2 linked regions of the Bombyx mori genome follow. The protein of the gene in region 1 interacts with the protein of each later gene in a pairwise test. Links are inferred from orthologs where the notes say so. Each region holds a gene or a part of one and is shown on either strand. Other genes may lie near its edges.

Region 1 (4,548 bases):
CTTTAAGGCTATAATTCTCTTTAAGACACATTCCATATTGAATTTAATTAGCATAAGGTGGGTGTGTCATTGATAGCTGACGCGGTGACGTGCCTCCGTGCATGTACGCCAAAGAGAATCACACTAGTGCACATGTGTTCACCTCGCGAGATCTGCATTCCGTGCCTCGTATCACGCCGTACTAATACGCCTTAGCCACATAATAATGAATAGATATTAAATACTATTCATTGTAAAATTTGATGCAACGTTTTTAACACTTTCATATTTGTCTAGCATTCCAATGGCTCCATTGTTTTAAGTTGCATTTTTTAAACGGTCTGATGAACAAGTCATTGAAATGTTCTGATTGTTTTGATTTTGTAAATACTTGTTAAATGAGGTACTGCTATATTTTTTTAATCAACATAATTTATATATTAGTGGTTATACGCTCACGGGCTTTGGTTACGTACCTATTAGACACAGGAAATAGTAGAGTCGCTAGAATAATTCAATAAAACCATCAGTAGGTATGTGATATTTAGATCATCAAGTCACGTTTATTGTTATAGGTATGTTCCGATATTACTGATTAAGGGTTTTGGACCGGATAATATTTAATTATATCAAAACATAATCAATCTAAAGATAAAATGACGCTATACTTAAAAGATACATGACTCATAAAATAATATTAATGTTGAAACATACTAATAAATATCAAGAATTTTGCAGTGTTCGTAGGTATTACAGTGGCTAAGTGAATGTGTAGCGATCAATCACAAATTGGTTACTCATCAGTGACTAATTCACTCGCAATCAAACCACTTCGATAAAGCGGCACTAGAACCCTCTCGTCGTGGCCGCCGGCAACTACATTCCCGATCCTGCGGACAGAATGCAAAGCAGTCGACGTCGCCCAAAACACGTCATTTCGGATCCTCCCGATCCACTATTATTAGCAAGAACTACAGCCAAAAAGAGTACCTACATTGTCCAGAGACATTCGACATTAGTTTGATTGCATTTTTTTCCCTACCTAAGCTGAGAGCCTTGAGAGGCTATTTCAGCGTAACCTTAACTAGTAGGTGAGCTCAAACCTGTCGACGTTGTTAACACGAACCCTAGCAAGAGCCGTGCTTCGCAGAATCTACCACCAGATCGGAAACACGACCCACTGCAAAGATCCGGCGAGAAACTCAGTGGGCTGTGTCTGAGGGCTAATTTACTCGTCGATCCCTTCGTCGCAAGTGACGGGTTCGACGTGAACGATGACCGGTGCTTGAGGTACCTAAAAACACCGTTAGTGGATCGGGAGGATCCGAAATGACGTGTTTGGGGCGACGTCGACTGCTTCCATTCTGTCCGCAGGATCGGGAATGTAATTACCGGCGGCCACGATGAGAGGGTACTCATGTCGTGTCGCTTTATCGAAGTGGTGACACCACCTTGCGTAACGTTTGTCAGATTAGAGCGGATATCTATCTAATCTATAACTATTTATTATGTTGCAATATTATATGCATTGGCTGCAGATTTAATTATTCTTGAAGCTAATTTATTATATCCCTGACTAAGGATTATGGGTAGACAGATAGATAATAATAGGTATTTCGAACACATAATATCTGTTTAGATGTTCGATATCCGTCCATCTCTGGGTGCTATAAACAATACATGTTGTTAAAAGCAATAATAGGAAACAATATTACTATTATCTTATCTTTCTCGTATCCGCTTTTTTTTATAGTACACATCGAACGAGGCGGTAATCTTCAAACAAATTTTATAGTTCAATTTTAATCCTTAGATGAACTTGTAAAATAATAATGTGTTTATTGGAAAGTTTCAAGATTACGATATTTTTATTGCACTGTTCATGGCACGAGTTCACGGCCCACTTGGTGTTCAGTTGCTACCGGGATCCACAGATGATAATAATAATAATAATAACTGGGAACAGATCGCGCACGGTCATCCGGTCTAATTTAGGATTGTCTGTGATAGGGGTACCAGACTGAAATAGATACTTATGTACCTTTCTTTAAATAAATTCATAAATAGATAATAAACGCCCAGAGACAGAGACCAAGCAAATCTGTTCATCACAGGAATGTTTGCCCGATGTGGGAATCGAACGAACGACCCTCAGTGCACAGCCACGGCCACTAACTACTGCACCATCGAGTCAGTCACAACGTAACACAACGTAAATGCCGATCCATCTTGAGACATGAGTTCGAAGTCTTATTAAAATTGTCAAGCGGCTGTCCCACATACATAATAATATGAAACCAAAACCCATGACTGTTACGCGGCAGAAATAGACAGGAAGATGGAATTTGCGTTCCAACCCGTGCAGGTATAATACGTCCTACCACTGGTAATTACTGAAATGTAATGTAATGCTTTTTTGGTTTTGATTTTTATTAAATAATGTCATTCTTTTAGCGTGGAAGTCGTGACCAAGTCTTACGAGTTAGTCATTATTTCTTTAAAAATTTTGGTATTGGTGTGACTACTTATGTAGGTGTCAAATAATTGACAGTTATCTAGATTTAAAGTATCGTAGATAATCTTAAACTATCGTAGATAATCTACTTTAAAAGAGCTCTCTGGGTCACGGATGTTAAAATTGAATTGAATCGAAGGTAAAATTGACTTTTCATTTTCTGAAATTGATTTTAATTTCAAAAATTGTGATTAAAGGGCACCTAAAAAAATGCATTTTTAATTTAAGATATTTTATACTGTTGTAACAACTCTTCACTAATTCATTATTAAGCTGATGGTTACTTACCCTGGAATGAATCAAATCGTTGGCACACATACTGTTGGTTTTCTTTGATTTCGAGCAGATACCCGCGAACGTACTTCTTACCGCTGCCAACATGAGAATAGTGTGACAATTGTCAAAACAATTGTTGATCGAGCCTCTTTATTAACATCCCTTATCTTTAAAGCAGCGCTATCTTTATCTAAATTGCGACCGCTGAATTGCTATAATTGTTATAAGCATTATACAATAGAACAGTTTTATTGTTGTCATACACGACATATTAAATTTGCTTCGTGTAAGCTTTTATATACCTGTAACGCGGTGAGTCGTGGTGGTCGCACGATTTATATTTTTGCTAGACTTAAAATTGTTCCTGTAACTGGATTACTTTTTCAATAAAACTTGATTACTGCCTATAAGTATGTAATTTTAAGTAACCATTTAATATTTTAAGTAATACATTTTTTTTAATTTTAAAGTATAGTTTAAAGGGTAATGATTAATGCTCCTCCAGTTATGTTTCTCATGTCTGAGGGTCGCGGCCACCTTTTTTTTTATTATTATTATTGACGCACAAAACAAATTACAACCAATGCAAATTGTAATGATTAATAGGTATCAATAATTCTTAAGTTTACTCATTCTTATGTTAGGTCATAGCAGGAAAATCTGAACTGAGGATTGAAGGTTTGGTAATACCGTTTTTGGCATACCTCATAATAGGTCTATAAGTAACTAGTTGTTACCATAAGTTGCCGTTTTACAATCCTGGCCAGTACGAAACTTAATGTATTGGCTGACAATAAATTCTAACATCAAATAAAATTTACTTAATAACATGGAAACTGTTTTCTGAACTGAAGATATGCCTTGCGTTGCTTAACAGTCATAGAAACGAAGGGAGCTTGAACCGCAATGTCACATGCGATGAAAAATGGGCCCTTTTTGATAATCCTAAGGGATCAGTATGTTAATTAGACCCTGGTTCAGCTCCTAGGCAATGCCCAAAACGGAAATTTACCGCTTGTCCCCACTGCCCCTGCACGATAACGCTTGACCGTGAAACAACAGATGGTCTCTAAACTACAAAAGCTAGGGTTGGAAGGTTTGTGTCATCCACCGTACACACCACACCTTGCGCCGACAGACTTGTACTGTTTCACAACACAGTTTTGACAACTTCTTGGCAGGGAAAATATTCGTGTCTCAACCTCATGTTTCGAGGGAAAATATTCGATACCCGAGAGGCGGTACAAAGTGCTTTTGAATAATGGGTACAACTGACTTTGCAAGAAGAGCGCTGAAAAATTGCGTCTGCCCTGACAGTTTTACTGGTGGTAGGATCTCTTGTGAGTCCGCGAGGGTGGGTACCAACACCCCGCCTATTTCTGCCGTGAAGCAGTAATGCGTTTCGGTTTGAAGAGACTTAGAACTTATATCTCAAGGTGGGTGGCGCATTTACGTTGTGGATATCTATGGGCTCCAGTAACCACTTAACACCAGGTGGACTGTGAACTCGTCCACCCATATAATCAATTAAAAAAAAGGCATTGATACCATGGATGCATATTTTGATTGATAGAAAAAAAAGAATGTTAAAAAAATATTGATAGAAATACAATAATAAAATGACCTACTTTCAGTATGTCAATATATTATTATTATAGTATCAACGGTAATTTCGTAGGTAAAGACCTAATAGTATGTCTAATATATGTATGTATGTATGTATGTATAGTATGTGTCTATGTAGGTAGGTATATAGGAGTGTAATATTTGCGTTCATA
Region 2 (4,347 bases), on another chromosome or scaffold:
CAATGGACGAAATACTTTCTAGAGGCAATTGCAAATCATCCAAACGTTTACAATAAATATTGCCGAATAATAGAGCTTCGTAAAAATCCTCAAGATTCTTTTTTTCAACACATTTACTTCTACATGATGTATATACATCATTTATACAATTTATACATTTTCTTGTATATAAAAGATAAAATGTTTAAACTTATAAATATTTTTTAATTATTGAATTAACATGGAAGTTAACAACTGTTTTTTCGATTTAATAATTATATAAATTATGAACATTATCATTGCGCTTCATAATTTTATTATGGCTTTACCTATTTCATCATAGCGTTGTGCTTAATAATTTCACCAGCAGATAACAAACACGTCTTCATAATACAATGCTGTATGTTTTCCAAAGGCACATCAATATTACGGTTTTACATAACAATAAAACCGATATTATGTGCCGAGAAGGAAAACATACAGCATTGCAGGAAGTTCTTCCTGGTGAAGACTATGAAGATCAAAGATGGCTGCGCTCCCTTTATACTTGCTGGCAGCACCTAGCGGCTAAAGATGGAACTAAATTGACTGTCTATGGTTGGACATAGACAAGGAATCTAAGCTAAGTACACACTGTTTCTTCATAATACAATGCTGTATGTTTTCCTTCTCGGCACATAATATCGGTTTTATTGTTATGTAAAACCGTAATATTATTGATTGCGATTTTAATACATGAGCGAAAATGTCAAAATCAATCGCTAAACTTAAATAGCGGTAGCTTCAATTTTAGCTACAACATGGTTTGGAATCACGAATCGCTTTGTAAGTAAATAGAGCACGCTACTTGATTTTAGACATGAAGAATTAATTTTAAGAAAGTCGTAAATAATTTTAATTTCTTTAATGTAATTTTAATTACGACATTCACATTAACGTGAAAAATTAATGGATACATAAGAGAAAAATGAATTCCTCTTAAAAGAAAATGCTTATTCACTATCCTATATTTTCTTAGAATTTGGGTTTCACTTTAAGTGGGCCGTTAGTTTCTTATAATTTTAAAGATCTTGTCAATTGGAACAGCTTTAATATTTTGAAAATCAAGCATGTTTTGAAAAATATAGCATATTATGGTGAAGAAGTTCTGGCATGAAAACTGACATCTCAGTTTCATCCTTCTAGAATTCCAAAAATATTAACAACTGCTTAAAAAAATTAAGCTCAAGGTGTGTCTAGAAAGGATTATCTAGGGCCGAAAATTTAAAAGTGTCTCAGTAAGTTTTCAGTTTATACATGTAGCAGTTGTACGTATCGTTATCGTGAATCGACCTATGAAGAACTATGTTCATTTGAGGATAAAAAAAATTGTTTACAGACGCTGACCATGTTGAAGATTCAAAATGTACGTTAAATTAAATATATGTTAAATTAAAACAAATAGTAGGGAAAATTCGGAGCTTTGTCGTATTGCCAATATAAACACGTTCTGTTTTACGGTATTGTTTAAAATGACAAAGAATGAGTTCCTTTTTATTTGTTAAAATTGTGAAATAGATTTGTGCACGGAACGGCAGTGACGTCATGAGACTGTCATTTAATCGTGTAAATAAAATAAAACTTGTATTTAAAAATTATCCCGCGGCGACAAACGTCGCGTTGATCAGTGATTTCGTTGCTTATTGAATAATCAGGTAAAGTCGTAGAATTTCCAATTATTTGTTATTAGAGACAGCGTTTTATAAATTTTTATCTTAAAACAAATTAAAGCCACACTTTTTTTTTCCATGTGAAATATTTTTATGATATTAAATCAAAACGCGACACCGCTAGCATTGATCCTTGATTAAACATAGGTAGTCCTTTGTGTGGTGGTATTGTTTTTTTTTACATTCCTTCTGACCTTCGGACACAGGAAGGTCAGAGCGAACTTTATATACCTTTGTAATTCTAAGACGCGGACCGTGGTCAGGCAGCGGCGGTGTGATCACTGAGTGCATCATACGTGTTTATTATTGTCCTACTCTTGTTTGCTTACGAGATTCATAACATACCATGATGAATGTGCTATCACAGTTTGCTCCATACTATTTTTACTTTAATGGAAATACACACATACCAAGTGTACAGACTTCAATATTAATCTGGCGCTTGTGCCTATAACAGTAATTTTACAATTAGTAGTCCTGTGTGAATTTGTGTTGTTATAAATAAATCTTATTTGACTATATCTGTCCTTTGTTCCCACTACTGAGTTGTCTGCCCTTTGTTTGTGTCCAAATAATATGATAATGCATCTGTACACTATGATTGTCTTACATTATGGACCAACTATTAATATATAATTATGAAAACTAAATATAGTATTTCCCATTAGGAAGAAGTTATACATAAATTGCTATATCAATTATTGAGTTTCTCTTAATTGTTAAGTCAATAATTGATGGTTCTTGTTTCTTGCCAATTTGTGTACAGCTTAGTATCTTATGAATTACATGTATTTAAAAACTAATGATTCTTTTTATAACTAATACTAAAATTGTGTTATATAAACTTTAATATTCATATACTAATTTATCATACTAAAGTTCTTCTAATAATTATTTTTATAAATAATCTGAAGTGAAGTCTGGTATAACATTTGAAGCACTAAGTAATGTAAGATTAGTCATTGTGGCCCAGAAGATAACACACATGTTACATTCCTATTGAGTCACGTGACTATGCTGACGTTAAAAACCTGCGAGCGGTACCCATTTTTGTATTGAAATAACATGAATGACTTTCATGGTGAATAAATAACACTGTGAATTAAATATAGTATGTACCTCGAAAAATTTGAATTTGTGTATTTACTGATGATAGGCATCTTGTGACAGGTAAGTATGACCACTTTGCCTATTTCTGCTGCAGTAATGTGCTCTGGTTTGAAGGGTGGTGCAGCCATTTTACTCTAAAACTGACACTTTAGAACTCATGTGGTCAAGGTGGATGATGATATTTTCACTGTTGAAGTCTATAGGCCCCCGGTAATCACTTAACACCAGGTGAGCTGGGAGGTTTTTCACATGCCTTCCCTTTAAAAAATAAATCTACAAACAAACCCTAAATGTCTAATTAGAACTGATACTTGCAAGGTGAAATTGGTTAAAATTATATTTGTCTTTATTACATTGAGACCTGAATAGGCCAGAATCTGTACAATTATTTTCATTTTGAGCAATTTGCAGATGATTGCTCAATGATTCAGTGTACAGAGGTAACTTGCATGTCTTTTAATTCTTAGAGTTCCCTGCCACGTATTTCCTATGAATTATTTCTTTTGATTCAGAGTAGATGCAGATGAGTTCCATTATTTAGTAGTGTCCTGTATTAGCTACTTATAGATTATAGTCATCTGTGTTTACGGAAACATGAGGGTAAAAAGATATAAAATATAATGGTCTGAAAGCCACACCTGGTGCATTTAAATATATATTATATAGTTGCAGGCTATGTATGTAGCAGGATAATCCAGAATTGAATCAACTCATTATATTATATACCTGTAAAATCTCCCCATCAGTATTTAGAAACAAATTAAATGCAGTGTGGCAATTATGTGTTCTGTTTCGAAAGCTAGGATAGCAATTAGCCAATACAACTGCCACTTAACCTCATGTCTCTGGGTGGATAGGCTTAAACGTAGCATGTTGCCCATATCCACAGGTAATTCTATTAAGGAAGTGCTCTGGTAATTTTTATGACGATCCCAGTGTTATTCTCTTCTGTACATTTTATGTTTCCTAAGTAGGTTCTTAAAATGAATAGATACACATATTCGATTTCCCTAAATTAAAACTTAAGGTCATATTGTTAAACTAGGAATGTTTATATTATGAGTAATTGATTTGGTTTTAACAAGAAATCCATTCGAATCTCATCATAATTTTGTTATTTAAAAACAAAAAAACTATTAATTTATAGAGAATTACTTTCATAGGACATTTACAGAAATTTACATGGGTAAAATTATAATCCGATTTTTTGTTCCCAGTCACTTGAAACGGAATCATCGAGAAATAGCCGCAAGATGAGCAAATTGTGCAAACAAGTGTCGATCGAGTCTCCCGGACCGACCATAAAGGAATGTGTCTTTAGCTTTGACGTGCCAGTACCAGACGTGCCCCTCTACGGAGCTAGGATTAGAGTTGTGTACGCTGGAGCGTGTTACCGGGCTAACAGAACAAGATCGACTTCAGTGTGCAGTACTTCTTCTGTGTCTTCCATAGGCAGCTTTACTGGGGAGATGGATGGTTACGCTCATACCACGATTCCCGCCCATATCGGCATAAGAGACGGTGCGTTATTCCCTGGCTATGAAGTTGC

The links. The genes of interacting proteins can lie anywhere in the genome.
Region 2: the proteins of hexokinase type 2 (region 1) and quinone oxidoreductase interact in a two-hybrid assay, tested with the Caenorhabditis elegans proteins (2 studies listed by BioGRID). The link is inferred for Bombyx mori from reciprocal best matches to the Caenorhabditis elegans genes hxk-1 and ZK829.7.

The regions. Positions count from the first base shown.
Region 1 is NC_085129.1:8,962,021-8,966,568, forward strand, and holds the start of hexokinase type 2, read right to left. Parts: upstream 2,900-4,548; 5' UTR 2,876-2,899; coding exon 2,783-2,875; intron 1-2,782.
Region 2 is NC_085107.1:1,996,360-2,000,706, forward strand, and holds the start of quinone oxidoreductase, read left to right. Parts: upstream 1-1,350; 5' UTR 1,351-1,673; intron 1,674-4,015; 5' UTR 4,016-4,051; coding exon 4,052-4,347.